2 linked regions of the Styela clava genome follow. The protein of the gene in region 1 interacts with the protein of each later gene in a pairwise test. Links are inferred from orthologs where the notes say so. Each region holds a gene or a part of one and is shown in the gene's direction. Other genes may lie near its edges.

Region 1 (8,205 bases):
AATGTCTTTGAATTTTGAACTGAAACTGTCATCAGTTTTATTCCAGGAATGACCAAGTACATCAACAACTTTTTCACCAGGATTTTGATCTACTTCAGGATGGTTTGAGTTCCAAATCTTTATAGAGAATTTTCCACGAATAGGTATTTGATCAACATCATTGATAACCTTGTTTGCAAGAATGTGATTCGAAACAGAATGACTGACGTCATCAATGTATGTATCTTTGTCCAATACAACAGCTCCAAGAGGATGATCTTTTCGAAATTTATCGGCTAAAAATTTAATAGTAAAGCATGCCAAGTCAGGACTAGATTTATCTCCGAACATAACCCGAAGCCATTGAAAGATTGTTGGTTGCACTGATGAATCACCATAGCGCCAAAGGAAACGATGAAATTTCTGATCGACTTCTGCCATTTGAATTTGATTAAACATTTTCGATATATCACCAGCAATAGCCACACTATCAGCTCGCCATGCCATGAAACATCTGAACAAAGAATTCGCAAAGCTGGGGCCTTTCTCTAAACCATCATTGAGACATGTGCCCTTAAAAGGACACGCAGAATCAAATACTATTCTTAATTTTGTTGAGGTTTTATCCGGACGTTCTACGATACGATGATTGAGGTACCATGCATTTTCAACTTTAGCCGTTTTCGTTTCAACCGGTGTTAGTCGTCGTACTACGCCTCGCTGAAGCAGATTTTTAATCTCCATATTATACTCTTCCGTTTTTCCTTTTCTATACAATTCTTGTTCCCGTTTTTTCATTTGTTCATACGCCTTCTCAAAATTGTTGTGCAATTTTTCTGGGAAACCAGGTTTCCATGGCATTTTGACACAAACTCGGCCATCAGCACCAATATTGGTTGTCGCTTTTACATGTTTGATAAATGCTGATTCTGCAATTTCTGAGTTAGAACAAACACACAAAGTTGTGGGTTGCACTCCAAGAACTTCACCATGGAAAAACTTGCGCAACTCTTCATTTTCTAATGATGAAAAACTATTAATATTTGCTACATGATTGAAAGATCGTTGCGGTGCTTGAATAATGCCTCCATATAGATAGCATCCAAGAGATGTGAAAGCTGCTGAAGGATGATTATCGGGATCAATTGGCGAACGTAATGAATGCATTGTTTGAATTAAAGGTGCATAATCTCTACCAACAAGAACATCGACTGTTTTTTGCCCAACTGGTATTTTATCCTGAATTCCTCTAAGATATTTAAACTGTTTAAAAATAGATGGCGGAATTGGTGTAACATCGTGACAAGGTTTTCTCACAGCCGTAACTCTGATATCAAATATCTGGTCTCGTGAAAGAGGTCTAATTTTTAAATTATAATCTTCAGAAGGTTCTTCATGAATGGCTCCTCCTGCGACATCAAACCGAATTGTTCCATGACCTATTGCCTTTTGTTTCAATGATTTTACAAAATTACGTCTTACCAAAGAATGGTTACTGCCACCATCAAGAAAGAAATTTGCCTTGATCCATGTTTTGTCACTCGCCTGCACTTCTGCAACAAGTAATGGAGAATAATCCAAATTAAAAGCGCTCAATTGTCTTGAATGCATCTGAGATTGGTTGAATACTGCTGCATTAGAGTGAATATGTTGACTTTCCAAATTCGAGTCGTTCATACCAGAATTTCTCATTGTATTGTAATTTCCCTGTACTTTTCCGGTACATAATGACCAATGATGCTGTCTTTGGTTACAATTTACACAGCTATCGGCTGTTGTTCTTGCACAATTTCTTGCAAAGTGAGTTCCTAGACATATAAAACATCTTCGATCATCTGCTATAAAGCTTTTTCTTTCAGGAATTGATAGGTTTTGATATTTGTTGCAGTCTATAAGGCGGTGCTTAATTCCACATCCAAAAATACAAGTGACTGTCCTTTGACGTGGCTGAACTGAACCCATGTTATCATTCTCGTCTGTAGCATGATTAACCGTATTGAAATTAGATCTTGGCGACTGGTTTTGTCTCGGTCGAAACCTCATATTCTCGGTTTGACTGATAAAGTTATATAAAGTTACCAGATATTTCCAACGCTGTAGCTTCAGATCTCAGAAAATTCGTTATAGATTCCAAGTTATAATTACCTTTGCTGGAACTATTATATCGCAGTGCAGTGTCTGCATCTAGACACTCTAATGCTCTATTGACAGAAATAACCGAGTTTGCATCCTGTTTTAACCCAAGATCTTCCATACGTCGGCAGAAGAGAGAAATTTCGTGAGCTAGTCGCCTAAGGTTCGCTGGATTACGAGAGATCTCTTCCTTCCAGAGAGTGCTCAAATCGTGTTAAAATTCTTTCCAAATTTACTTTGAGTACCGGAAACTTACTCTTGAGTTGTTTGAAATTCTGACCTTGAAAATATTCTGCCATTGTTAGTTGGCATTCTTGCTTTGATGTATTGCTGAATCCTCGAAAGGTTGAAGAAGAGCTGCTTGATTCAGAATCCAGTTTGTAGGTGTAGGTGCAGTATCATTAAATGTCACTAGTTTGGATTTCTGCCCATTGACAAATCACCCTTGCCTACTATGTCTCTTTAACTAATATCCCGAAATGAAACGAATAGATTTCTCCCAAAGTGATTTAATCCAGATATCAGTAAGACAAAGTGACCTGACAAACAATAAAGATGAATATTAAAATGAGCACAGACAATCAGGCACAATACAAAGCAAGAATATACCAATTCACTTACATTTAAATGAGGCTTTGTCAGAACAGATTATCCCAATGTAAGAAACTTAAGAAATAGATTATTCATATCCAATGACTATAGCACCATTAAAAAGCTTATGAGAACAGATCTAAAGACAGATTAAAGCTCTAGACAGTTAACCATAACAAGAAGTAATCGAGTAATCAGCCAATAATCGCGATGCAGTGAACCATACGTAAACACACCAAAAGTAAGTAGTACCAAGATAAATCAGTCAAATGTTCAAACCACTGCTCGATAACCAGTTTTGGTTTCCCGTGTATCCCAAGTGTAAACTCCCTAGTAAAACTTGAAATATCATTTTCTCGTAATTTGTGTGCAATATTTTTTACTGGTTGGAAAAAATAAACTATATAAATAAGCATCATACCGGGGCTGCCGGACGATAAAATTTTGAATGCAAAGCCAACTGAAACACTCCCATTGTAACCAGTAACAGGGTCCGGTCATTTTCAATTCATCAAAATTCACCTATTTTCAGCTTGTGTCGGATGGTTTCATAGCTACCATTTTTTGAGTTAAGGGCTCGGGAACTTGATTTTCTCCACATGCCGAAACAGATAACCAGATAATTCACGTGAGCTGGATATATCTGAACTGATTACCAGGCGAAGGTCCGTTAAATTATTAATCCATCATACTGACTTTCCTTCTTCGTTACAAATTGACAAAACCTACCATTGTCAGTCAGTCCCCGCTATACTTCCATCGGACTTGAAGGCCGAAGGGCCCATGCACCTGGAACAATTAGCTTATTAACTAATCCCGACATAGACAGGTCACCGGACGAGAGGCCGTGAGTCGCCATATGGTTGGACCGTCTCATCGGCTTCCCTCTCCCCCGAAATAAATATGTAAATCCTATTCCCTCCTACCGGAATTTCTCCCAAAATAACCAAAACAACTCGCAAGATCGCAAAGTTTCCAGCCTTGTCGACTCCTGATTGGCTATTGATGACCTAATTGTTATGACACGTGACTTCTTTGTGATCAGCTGTCCAAACAAAAGAGGTCAGCGTCGCAGTTGCTCACACCCAACGGTTAAAATTCACGCCGAAGGAGAAAAGGTAATGCCTTATATTTTGTTAAATATGAACGCCACGTGCGTGTAATGTTTGATGTACCCCGGTATTCCCCATCATTTGTGAAGTTTGTATTCTGGACTTCGGTACGATACGGTGCCGTACCCATAGCAGTACGGTAACCTTGCAATTGCAATACTGCAATTTGTTTTCTTTCAGTCGTTGGTCAGTTGGTAGGGCATAATGGGGTATCATATTTTAGTATTCACGGCAGTGCAGTACGTATGCGCCATTATCGTGTTTCGTCAGCGTTTTGTGGTTAGGTTTGAATTTAGTCAGTGTGTTGTGTATTGCCTACGTTGTTGTTATTGTGGCGTTGTTGTTATTGAGGCGGTGTGACTCATCGTGCTAAGTGTTAGGAATACGCTCGCCACCGCACCTCTGATCACTCTGCATGGGTTCGCAGGTTCGAATCCCACGCAGGGATGGTTATGTGCGAGAGGATTGCTGGACTCTTCGCCGACGTGGGGTGGTTCACGTAACTGCTGGTCGGTTACGGCTTCCTCCACAATCAAGTCCATGCTTCCGAAAACAAACAACTAAATATGTAAAGGATAATATTTGAACTAAATGCGAAGATAAATTCCCCACCCCCTGAAACATTGATTTTAATATAAGCCCTCACTTTAAAACAAGACCTAGTCAATAGCGCGAATTTTTTTTTGATCTAGTCAATAGCAAGAAATCTCTCCAACTTGTTTTAAATGATTATTCTAAAACGTGTGAGAGAGGAAAAAGTGTTATTTAAGTAAATGGATATCGGTTTTCAAATTTTTTAAATTTAAAAATCTGGTAATTCTTCACTTTGTAATTTAGTTTTTGATAAATGAAAATAAAAGACATCCCCCGGAAATAAGCCCTAGTGTTATTTTTCGAAAGAAAATTGAAATAAGAGACTGTCTTATTTTCGGAAAAACACAGTTCTTATCGAATTCAACATAAGCAGCGTCCATGCATCTGAAAACTAAGCCATCTTATTGGCCTTTTTCTCTCCTCGGATAAATATGTATAATCTATCTCAATCCTATCCGGAGGAAATTAAATCCTCAAGTAGAGGATCATGAGACGTGTCATTATTCATTATAATTTAATACCCTCACTCTTTTTGTTACTCTTGTGTTAGTCAGCTGACTTCTAGGGAAAATTTCTTAGTTTTTTTAACATGACTTTAATAAAACATGTCCTTTGTAAGAAGGATAGATTTTCCCATTTTTTTACTAGAAGAAAAAGAAGATGATAGGACTGCCTAGTCGTACAGCAAACCACTTCCTCTCGTCCGGTAACCATTTCATGCCGGGTATAGGATTAGTTAGTCAGTACTTTATTTCCGCAGCATAGACTTGATGGTGGAGGAAGCCATAATCGACCAGCGATTTTGTCAATCATCCTACAGTTGCGAGGAGTTCAGCAATCCTTCCTCAAATAATTAGCGATGGCATGCGTATTTCTAATGGCATGACGTGCCATACTGCAGAGGAGCGAATGATAACAGTATCACTAGATAAATAAATAAATGGTTAGATGGTTTATTTTGTAATTTATAGATTATTAAATATGGAGAATTCTGGCCATCTGAGCATAAGAAAAGAGCACTTGCATGTTAGTATGTGAATATTCCCACCAGTCACAGTCCACCACGGATTCAAAATATCAAAACTGAAATATTCTTTTCATTTGTTTATACTTATATAGTCTTAATATTAGTTATAACACCATGGAATCGCAAGCCACGTCTTCTGTACCTGTCCATGAGCGAGAAGTCGAGTCGGATGAATCAACACCTAAACCTACCTCAAAGTTTTCAGACGAGCCTCCAACAAAGAGAAAGAAGAATTCAAACCTTGAAGACAGATTGAGCCATATATTGTCTTGTAATGTAAGTTTGCATTGGTTTTTTTGATATGTGATTAGTACAATTCAGGGACTGGAGCATGGATTAGCACTTGGGGCCTGGGGACCCCCCAAGCGACCACAGAGCAGCTGGAAGGGAGTCACAATGCTAGGTTCAAAACTCCTGTTCTTTTCTGTTTCCTTTATTACTTTCATTATTTCACAGGGTGTTTACACTTTGTTGAGCATGAATTGCTCGAACATAATGATATTTGGAAACTACCATACAAAATAACACTATAAATACCACTGGATTGATAAACAGGGGGGCCATGAGTGCTAAAGGCCTTAAAAACTATCTAGTCTGTTTCATTACGTTCTGTGTGTTGTCATTTTTGTATCTTAAAAAATGAAAAATAAATGAATTATCTATCTCACATTTATTTCTTAGGTCTGTTTTGACTTGCCTTCATCAGCATGCTACCAATGCTGCAGAGGACATCTCATGTGTGCTGCCTGCTATAACCACTTACTTGCTGATTCAAAGTTAAAAGATGAACAAGTGGGTATTTATTCTTCCTCTAGAAAATTGCTGAAGCGTAACTAGACAGAAAATTCTCATCTGAAACGGGTGGGTGAATGCTGTCTGGTATCGCCTCGTTGATTTTCAATTATAATTCTGAGTTGAAAGAGGGAGCAAGTAAATATTACAAGAGATTATGACTAGAAATTGATGGTTAGGCAGAATAATCACATCTGAAAGAAGGTTGTGCAATGCTGCCAGATCATTCTTAAAGTTACTTTTGTCTGTGTTGTACATTTTTTGTTCTGTGTTACAAATGGAAAATTGAACTAAAATTGTGTTATATGAATTGTATTATTGATTTTTATATGGATGAGGTCAATTTGTAGGCAAGCGAACTCTAGTCTGTTTCCCAGACAAACAGTACTAGTATGTTTACGGCCAAGACTTGTTGTGTATCTGTAGAATCAAAATGATAAACTAGAACCTCCAAGAAAGTCGGTGATTCACCTTATAAATAAGCATCCTATTGCATAATAACTCCAAATTTGTATCTGTGGTTCGCTACCACATCAGCTTAAATTTCATTTCCGCTTACTTTTTTTTCATTGTCAAGACTTTACATTAGCTACCCCTTCCTAGCCAACGTGTCCATCTTGCCGCGTTGACATCGGCCACGGATCTTGCACAAGAAATCTCACTGCAGAGAAAACAATATCAGAATTACCGGTCGTTTGCGTATATTGTTGCGGAAGTTTTGCTCGACACATGATTAAAGGTCATCAGACCGAAGACTGTGCTGATAGGCTAGTCAAATGCAGGTTTGTGATTTTCTTGACACTCTAGAAGTGTGTGTACCAATATGGAACTACCGTATTTGCTCGTTTTGTAGCCCGGGCCCATATTTTTTTATCCGAACTCACCAACCGGGCCCTTATTCAAACCTTATTGTCATTTCCAGTTCTCAAGTATGATTTAAACGAGAATAACGAAAATTTTGACTTTTTCTACGCACCGCAGGTACAAATCCGCAAAATAAGAAAAGTTTTGCGACGCCCCATCAATATTGAAATGACGCACTTGGTCGTCGCGTCACCCAGTTTGAGAACCACAGTGTTACGTAATCAATGCTATCTGTTATGTAATTGGACGTCTAAGGGGTGAGTGTTATCCACCAGCGCTTAAAATTCAACAGCATTGTGACAAAAGCACTTCTTATTTCCTATTGTTCTCTACCACTGAAAAATCAGCTTTTACATCGAGCGGGTATCCAAGCACCGGCCCTTATTTATTTTTATGTTCTGTTCACACGGGCGGCTAATCAAACGGGCCCTCAATCAAGATCATGCGGTAAAACGAGAATATACGGTAACTAATTTTGTTCGCCCACTTTACATCAAGCTGTGTAAAGGGACTGAAACTTATTGGTTAACATAGACAGTCCCTGAACTCGTAATAGAACTAAAATAAGGAAAATCGGAGTAAAATTATGTCCTAACCTGGTGCACACACTACCGGAGTACCCTTTTCGGCGCTCCAGAAGTATGTGTACCCGTATGGAGGTAACTAACTTTGTTTGTCTATTTCACATCAAGTCAGTGTCAGGCAGGGGGCGTAGCCACGGATATTTAAGGGGGGGGGGTTCTGAAATTTCTAGTTTACAAGTTAGATCGTAACAGCTAGCAAGTCTTGCTGGAGGTCGGAAAACAATGGATTGGGCATTTTCGAATCTAATCAAATATATTTTTTTAATCAAATCTCGAATACTTGGAAGATATGTAGTTGGCGTCGATTTAAAATTCTTGTGTGAACATGTTCAAATTACTCACTATTCAAAATGCCCAGCGCTAGTTACGGCTTCGTTTTAAGGAGACTTGTTTGGAAAGCTGGTGACCACAAAATTATTGTTCAATATTTCCATTATCAACATTGCGAAATATAAGATTGGGATCTTCTTTCTTCAGGTTTGAAACGTTCGGTTGTTCTTGGAGTGGGCCATATCATGAATCAACCAAT
Region 2 (8,205 bases), on another chromosome or scaffold:
TCAACTTCCGTTTTCCCTCCACTTCATCCGTTTCTTCCTTCAGCCTTTTAGTGCTGTCCTTACTGCCTTAGTCTTAACTGTATACCGGTATCTGTAAGTGCTTCATGTTATATGTCAAGCTCAAAACAACATAATACCAACCAAGGATTATAAGACTTGCTGAAAAGAAGTTTCTCATTGATGTAAACTTTGATTAAATATCTATGACCCACCATAATAAAAGTATAATTTTGACCCATCCAGTAAAAAAGGTTTGCCATCCCTGATATAGACTAACATTGCCAATATTGCTGTATTATCTAATTTGCCAATGTTACATACTTATTTCTGGTCGAAAATACTCTTGCCACCGCACCTCTGCACCGCACCACTTATATATGAGGGCTACTTGTATATTTGCAAAAACTGCCTTTTATTTGTCAGGCTGATTTATTGCTGCTCAAAATAATAGTCATCGTTTACCTATTTAAATATTGGGTTTAAGTTTTTAATAGGCCACAGTTGTTGTCTTGTTTGAAAGGCTTACTAATAATAGTTATTCAACCTAAATTGTATTTATATATATGACTATCGATCGTATGTTTACCAAAATTGTTTCTTAATTGGGGTATATAATATTTTTTCAGTCACCTATTTGCCATAAATTTTTCTTGTTACTTATCGATTTTAATCGGTAAGTATGTTGATAGGTATTTGTCTGTCTGTCTGTTAGATGCACGCGATATCTCACGAAAACGAGATCGAATCTGCTCCAGATTTTTCATGTGCATTCATCATATCTCGGACCAGAAGCCTATTGATTTTGGGCGAAGTATATCGTATAATTAGCGAGTTATTAATCAATAGTGATGGGACACAAGTTGTCACTATGGAGTAAGAGCGTTTTTTTGGGGGATCCCCTGACTTTTGATCGATAAGTCCTCGGTCTCTGACCGATATTCTCGTTGGAAGGTTGATTCCTCTCTTGAACCAATTGTTTTACATGAGTACCATGTTGTTTATCTCCTGAAATTCATTCGTACATGTAAGGCTGGCTCCTTGCGTCCAAATCTACATTGAGTATAGTAGTCCAATAGCCAAAATTGTTTTTTTTAATTTGTGGGTCTTACTCCTCACTTTCAAATCTCATCATTTAAAAATTGATTTCACGGAAAAAAAATTAATTACTTTTATTTACTTCATTTTTTTGTTTGTTTTTTCAAATTTTGTGTCGTGAACTTCAACCATTTCTAATAATCTTATTTTACTGTGAATTTATCAGCGTAAACTTGGAGGGGGCTGACTTCGATGACCGCATGGTCGTATCGCTCCTTCCAGTCTACACCGAAAAAAGCGTACTTTTTTATAGCCACTATTTATTTATTATTATGACTGTTTTTTTCTGGTTGACGAAATAAATCTCTCTCTCTCTCTCTCTCTCTCTCTCTGACCCTTGATTGTCGCCGTAGGATGACTCACATAACTGCTGATTGTTACGGCTACCTCGGGTCTGGTGGTGACTAATCACAGTGTTAGTGATTCTTCACCTATAATATTTCCCACAACGTTCAATCATCCAATGTGTTGATACGTTTAGCAGTGTGACGGCTAGCATTGCCTTGTTTACTACATGGTATGCTTATTATACTTTGTTTACTGCTGTACTGCATTGCTATGGATGTTTAAAGGGGTAACAAACGAAAAATTACGAGTTATGTTTATTTAATTTATGAATTCATTCATAATTCATGAATTATTTTAATCAAATTTCTATAATGACAGATCATACTTGAAATCAGGATAACAAATGCATTTCAAGGGCATAAGAGCGATTTCTAGATCACTTCAAAAAAATGAAACATCAAAAAGTGATATATTCAAATCATCATTAACTAGAATAGATGAAACTAAGCATCTCAATGCTTTCATCACAGTTGCAAGAAAGGCTGGTAACAATGAGGTCACCAATCAAAAAAATCACATACTGACCGGAACTACATTCTCACTGAAGGATAATTATTCTTCCGAAGGTATACTCACGACATGTGGATCTAAAATGTTGGCAAATTATAAACCAACATACAATGCTACTGTACTTAATAAATTATTAAACCATGGCTCACAACTCATTGGAAAAAACAACATGGATGAATTTGCCATGGGGTCGGGATCTATAGAATCTATCTACGGTCCTGTGAAAAATCCTTGGTCACCTGACGTATTATTGAATCCGTCTAGCAAAGATTGGAGAGTTGCTGGGGGCAGTTCAGGTGGGGGTGCTGTGGCAGTCGCAACTGGATGTTGCCATTTTGCTCTGGGATCGGACACCGGCGGTTCTGTGAGAAATCCAGCTTCTTATTGTGGGGTTGTTGGTTTAAAACCTACTTATGGATTAATATCTCGTCATGGTTTAATTCCTCTTGTTAATTCAATGGATTGTCCTTCCATTTTTGCAAGATCAGTAGAGGATGCTGCTATTGTTTTAGATACATTAAAAGGGAGAGATATCATGGACTCCACTTCAATAGAAAGCAAGAAATTGAAAATATGCTTAAATGAAAATTATGATATTTCTGTCAAAGGATTAAAAGTTGGTATACCAAAGGAATGCCTAGTTCATGGCATGTCTCAGGAGGTTGTAGATATGTGGCGATGGGCAGCGGACCAGTTTGAAAATGCTGGTGCTGAAGTAACACTTGTGAGCTTGCCCCATATGAAATATTCAATAATTTGCTATCATATCCTCGGTAATGTGGAAGTTGCCTCAAATATGGCAAGATTTGATGGTCTTAAGTATGGACATAGGTCGTCTATAAATGAATCTACATATGCAATGTACGCAGTTTCTCGGAGAGAGGGATTCAATGATACTGTGCGAAGTAGAATTCTTAGTGGAAATTATTTTCTTTTAAAAGATAATATAGAAAAGTATTTTTATAAAGCGCAAAAAGTGCGGAGACTTATATTAAAAGATTACCAGAAAGTTTTTGGAGCACATAACTTGTATACAAGTTGTGATAGTGATGATTCTAATTCATCTGGTATTTGCGATGTTCTCCTTGCCCCCACTGTAATTTCTGATGCGCCATTATACTCTGAATTTATAACGGAGGACAATAGGACGCGATCAGCTGAGCAAGATGTATTAACTCAAGCTGCAAATATCGCTGGTGTTCCTGCCATAAATATACCCACTCGATTATCTAGAAATAATATGCCCATTGGACTCCAAATTACTGGTAGACACTTTAGTGAGCCAAAAATTTTGAAAGCCGCTGCTTTTCTTGAGAAAGTAGCACAGTTCCCTAATTTGGAACAACATTTTACAACACAACTTGACTCTTCCAATGCTAGTAAACCTATTTTACAACAGATGTCTTGAAGTGTTCCCTTTAATATATTTGTTTCAAAGCAGTTTCTGATTTGTCATTAGTAATATCATGGAAAGTGTGTTCGTTGGGAGTAGAGTGGTCTTGAAAATTAATTGAGATGGGGTGATAACGTGATATTGTCGAAACTTGTGTCTGGAGTATTCTTTGGCAACCTATGGTATTTTCTATTTCTGAGAGCCTTTTATTACTATCAATGCATTGAAGTTGACTATTAATAATAATATTGTGTTATTGACCAATTTAAAATTGTTTTCTACCTATTTAAAATAATGAGGTTCAAGACAACTTATTCGATTAGTTGCAAGTATTCGAAAAAGCTCATTTTTAATTACCTACTCGCAACTGAAAATAAGGGCCATTTAGTTAGGTTCTCATTGAGGGGTATTGATATTTACTTGTCATAGTCAATTTTATTTTTCCCATCCATCAAAAAATTGGCTCTTGTGCCAATGTGATATTATCGATGGTATTACTATTTCAAAATTTTGACACTGATTTATTAACAAAATTGCCAATAAGCAATTGCGGTAAAATTTGGATAGGGTGTCTCTTCTGTTTTTTGTTTTTTGCACACAAGAAGGATTGAGAATGTGGGCTGAAAGAGAGTCTAATAGATCTTTGAGTCTGACAGTTTGGTAACAGAAAAAAGGTTGGAAACCACTGTTCCAAACTATTAGTCTTTTTTGTTGATGAGGTTCTTTTTGTAATTGACTTATTAAGTTTTTTGTAATTGACTTTTTGCATTATGCGGTTTATGAAAATATTGTTAAAAGTCCGAGTTTATCGCACATAATTGAACCACACTTTTTCATTTTTCAGTAGATAATTTTCTTTAGTGATTATCTTGAAGCAAACTATATTTCATAGAAGTTTAATAAAGATCCAAACTTAGGAATGAGCAGCATAGCTGTTATGAGGATTAAGAGAGAGCTCAAAGACGCTGAAGATGAGGTATGCCAATCATGATTTAAGTAGAAGCAGTAGAGGGGATAATTAATACCAATAACTGTCAACCATTTATTTACCATATTATTAAAATTCAAAATTTAGAAAAATGATAAGATGATTGGTAGCTGGAACCACTAAAATTTCTGGTAGGTCAGGCTCTACTTCCATCTAACATGGTAAGCTCGGCTCCTCCAGTACTGGTTCCAAATCTTTCAAATTTGATCGATATTTTGTTTTAATAAGATAAGTTAGTGTCGAAAAATATTTCACCACATCCTCTATTGAGCCCTTTCACGACCCGCCGTTGGCTGGGACTCCCAGTTAGAAATGAATGTTTTCTAACATACATGCTATTTTGTGAGAAGAGAATATGTTACTCTCAGTAGAGGTGTGCGAGACTAACTCCCAATCCTTTCTCAATGCCTTTACGCTAGTGGATTCGTATGCGTGTAACGCAAGGATGCTGTAGCATGAATAAAATACCATAATATGTTATTCACTTTTTGGATATTAGTACCAATATTCAATAAGCATTCAATGCATTTTGAACTCTAATATTTACAGCCCTTGATATAAACTGTTATCTGTGTTACAGAAAGATTTGTTTATAACGATCACTTGTGAAAGTAAACTGACAGAATTGAGAGGACAGATAAAAGGCCCACCAGGAACACCTTATGCTGGTATACCCAATTGTTATGTCTATTTTCTAGAGTGCATTGATAAAAATAAATTGCCTATTCGTATGTTTCGTTTTTACATACCAGTAGCTGCCACAAAATAATTGACACAGTTACCTATTCGTATTATATCTCCACTTTTCAGAAGTGGAATTTGCTTTGATATAAATGTAACTCTACAATTAGGGCCCTTCTTTGTAGTTGAAAACACTAGCAAAATGTTGAGATAGTCCTTTGTCAAATTTAGATTATCAATCACATGCTTTATTTAAGCATCAGTAATATTTCTTATTGGAGACACTCACAAATAGTGTCCTTATTTCAATTTTCTTGTTAATTTCTGCCACAATGGCTAATCAGTGAAACGATCTCATAGAAGCTGCATTAGATGTGGCTTATTTCGCAAAATAAATCCAAAAATGAGCATGAAAAATTTGTCAATGAGAAAGTAGCCTATAGAAAGAAATTTTTGGGTTAAAAGTCTGAGAAACATCTAATACTTAGTTCTTTGAAGGCGTTATTCTGATTGCTCCTCAATGCCAAGGCAGTTTTAGTATCTTGTAGTTGTAGACTTTTTTGTTCATGTTGTATTTCATAAATTGTATAGCTTATCTAATTTAGATTGTTTTTTTAAGGTGGAACTTATGATTTGGATATCAAAATTCCAGACACATATCCATTCAATCCACCGAAGATAAAATTTCTAACACAGATTTGGCATCCAAACATTAGTTCTGTGACTGGAGCAATATGTCTCGATATCTTGAAAGATCAGTGGTACGTAGAATGTAAAACATGCTCAAATGATAAAAATAAAAGTTGTAGTTAGACAATAAAAGTCTGGGTCATCAGGGATAGTGAAGAAAAATTCGCAATATTTTCCCAATTGAATAGAGGATGGATGGAAGAGGACCCATCACAGGATAACCGATATGACGACTTTTTCATATGGTAAATCACGTCGGCGCTCCAGAAGTGTGTGTACCAATATGGAGGTAACTAGTTTAGTACGCCCACTTAACATCAAGTTGTGTAAAGGGACTGAAGCCTATAAGCAGGGGGTAAATTCATTTGACTAACACGGACAGTCCCAGTACTCATAATAGAACTAAAATAAGGAAAATCGGAATAAAATTATGGCCTCACTCACCTTAACCTGGTACACACGCTACAGGAGTACCAATCACGTCAGCAAGCAGCAGTCCAGCAATCCTCCAGCACATAATTACCGGTATCCCCTACAGGATCCGAAACTGTGAATGAACCCATGCAAGAGGTTCGATGGCGAGCCTATTCCCAACACTTCGCAAGATGCGCGACTCTGCCGAGCGAACTACAGCGAAATACTCAGCTACTTTGCCGATAGTATATGCATGCAGATAAAGCAGAATAATAATATCCTGTGAATTTTATATTACAGGGCGGCTGCACTTACATTACGAACAGTTTTATTATCCTTACAAGCTTTACTGCAGGCTGCAGAACCAGATGATCCACAAGATGCGGTAGTTGCAAAACAGTTTAAAGATAATCGACATATTTTTAATAAAACAGCATTATATTGGGCGCAACATTTCGCAAAAGGTAAGTTGGTTTATTTGAGCGCAATTTGCAACCAACTCTATCAATTATTCGTTTTCGTTTACACTTTCGTGTATCTTCGTGAATCGATGCGAAGCAAATATAATACTCAATAGCTGATGAATAAACTGAACACATAATGAAATTTAAAAATCTATGACATGGTCATGTTTAACTAAGAACGCATGGAGTAAATAGCTTTCAATGAGGTTGTATTCGTTAATGCAGGAATTATTTGAATGATTCTTACTATTTTTGCAGTTGTTGTGTTTTGTTATGCTGTTAGCCTTCAATTGCTCGACATGGTAATTTTGCCAAATAAAATTATTCCTAAAGTTAAAAGAAGTTTATTGAAGTATCAAATATGGCTAATTTTAATTTTCTGTATTTAGCACGCACCTGCTTCGCAATCAAATATTTTGTTAAACCACAATCACAAATATCACTTGGCTTATTACCTAACCTTTTCTTTTCAAAATACTCTCATCTATCAGTATTCTGAAAAAGCCTGCAAAAAAGATATCTGCTTATACTAAATCAAAGTCAATTACCTAGGACTATTATGAATATTCCATTTACTTTTATTGTAGCACCAGGGAAAAAAGAGGAAAGTTTTGAAAAACAAATACGTACAATCACGGAAATGGGTTTCTTTCAGGTAAGATTCATTTTCATTATTAATTATGTTTTTCGACCCTAATGGAGTCAATGATGGAAAAGGGGTTATTCATGTGCAATTTTTAGCTTCTTGTAATATTGCTAGCCCAAGTATTTCGACTCCATAACCATAATCACGAAACAATAAATAAAACTGATTACAGAATCAAGGGAGAAAAGTATGATCATATCTAATCAGGTAACTGGTAATTTGTTCCTCTCAGCTGTCTCTTATATTAGGTGAATTAGTGATATTGAATGATACCACTGAGATATCCATATGCAGATGGTTGTTCAATGTCATCTACTTCTGAAATCGGCAAACAAGGTGTCACTGACACAACGACTTTGGTAGTCTTCCGTCTGCTTGCGACTCCCGTCAACTGCGGAAAAAATATCTTTTTATTTAAATTGATCGTTTATTATTATATATTTTTAATTGTGTCGTCACAATTTTTCATGCACAACGAAATAAATATCTGAATCTACCAGTCGCCACCAAATTCTTGATCATTCCCAGCTACTGTGCAGTGATATTAATCTTATCATATTTTTCAACATTTTTTTAGAGTGATGCATTGCAAGCACTTTCTGCTCATAATTGGAATATGGAATCAGCAATACAGTATTTAACAAGTTGATTTTTGATTATTATATTTATAAAAAGTTTTTTACGGTATAACTTGATTCATGTTCCAAGACATTTTCCCTTCTACGACAAATGTGTGCCACTGTTTCAAAGCATTGTGGCTATAAGACACTTCTGCAGTCTTTGTTATCATTGGATAACATTTTATGAGGTCACAGTTCTAATATAAAAATTTCAAATTTCTGTTGAAAGAGATACGTTTGAAAGTTGAAAGATGATTTTTGAGTGGTATCTTCAGTTGGTCACTCCACCCTAATATGCATTAAAACATAGTTTCAGACAATACACATGATGTTATGACTCAGATTTTGTTTGTCTT

The links.
Region 2: the proteins of zinc finger TRAF-type-containing protein 1-A-like (region 1) and ubiquitin-conjugating enzyme E2 K-like interact in a two-hybrid assay, tested with the Drosophila melanogaster proteins (2 studies listed by BioGRID). The link is inferred for Styela clava from reciprocal best matches to the Drosophila melanogaster genes CG32486 and Ubc4.

Annotation. Positions count from the first base shown.
Region 1 is NC_135252.1:24,637,180-24,645,384, reverse strand, and holds the start of zinc finger TRAF-type-containing protein 1-A-like, read left to right. Parts: upstream 1-3,700; 5' UTR 3,701-3,821; intron 3,822-5,528; 5' UTR 5,529-5,550; coding exon 5,551-5,712; intron 5,713-6,117; coding exon 6,118-6,228; intron 6,229-6,831; coding exon 6,832-7,010; intron 7,011-8,153; coding exon 8,154-8,205. Other genes in the region: uncharacterized protein LOC144420931, read right to left, coding at 1-2,022.
Region 2 is NC_135262.1:10,413,214-10,421,418, reverse strand, and holds the start of ubiquitin-conjugating enzyme E2 K-like, read left to right. Parts: upstream 1-4,132; 5' UTR 4,133-4,265; coding exon 4,266-4,322; intron 4,323-4,914; coding exon 4,915-5,002; intron 5,003-5,634; coding exon 5,635-5,776; intron 5,777-6,419; coding exon 6,420-6,583; intron 6,584-7,170; coding exon 7,171-7,238; intron 7,239-7,406; exon of another isoform or gene 7,407-7,620; intron 7,621-7,806; coding exon 7,807-7,878; 3' UTR 7,879-8,205. Other genes in the region: glutamyl-tRNA(Gln) amidotransferase subunit A, mitochondrial-like, read left to right, coding at 1,787-3,361. UniProt on the Drosophila melanogaster protein: Catalyzes the covalent attachment of ubiquitin to other proteins.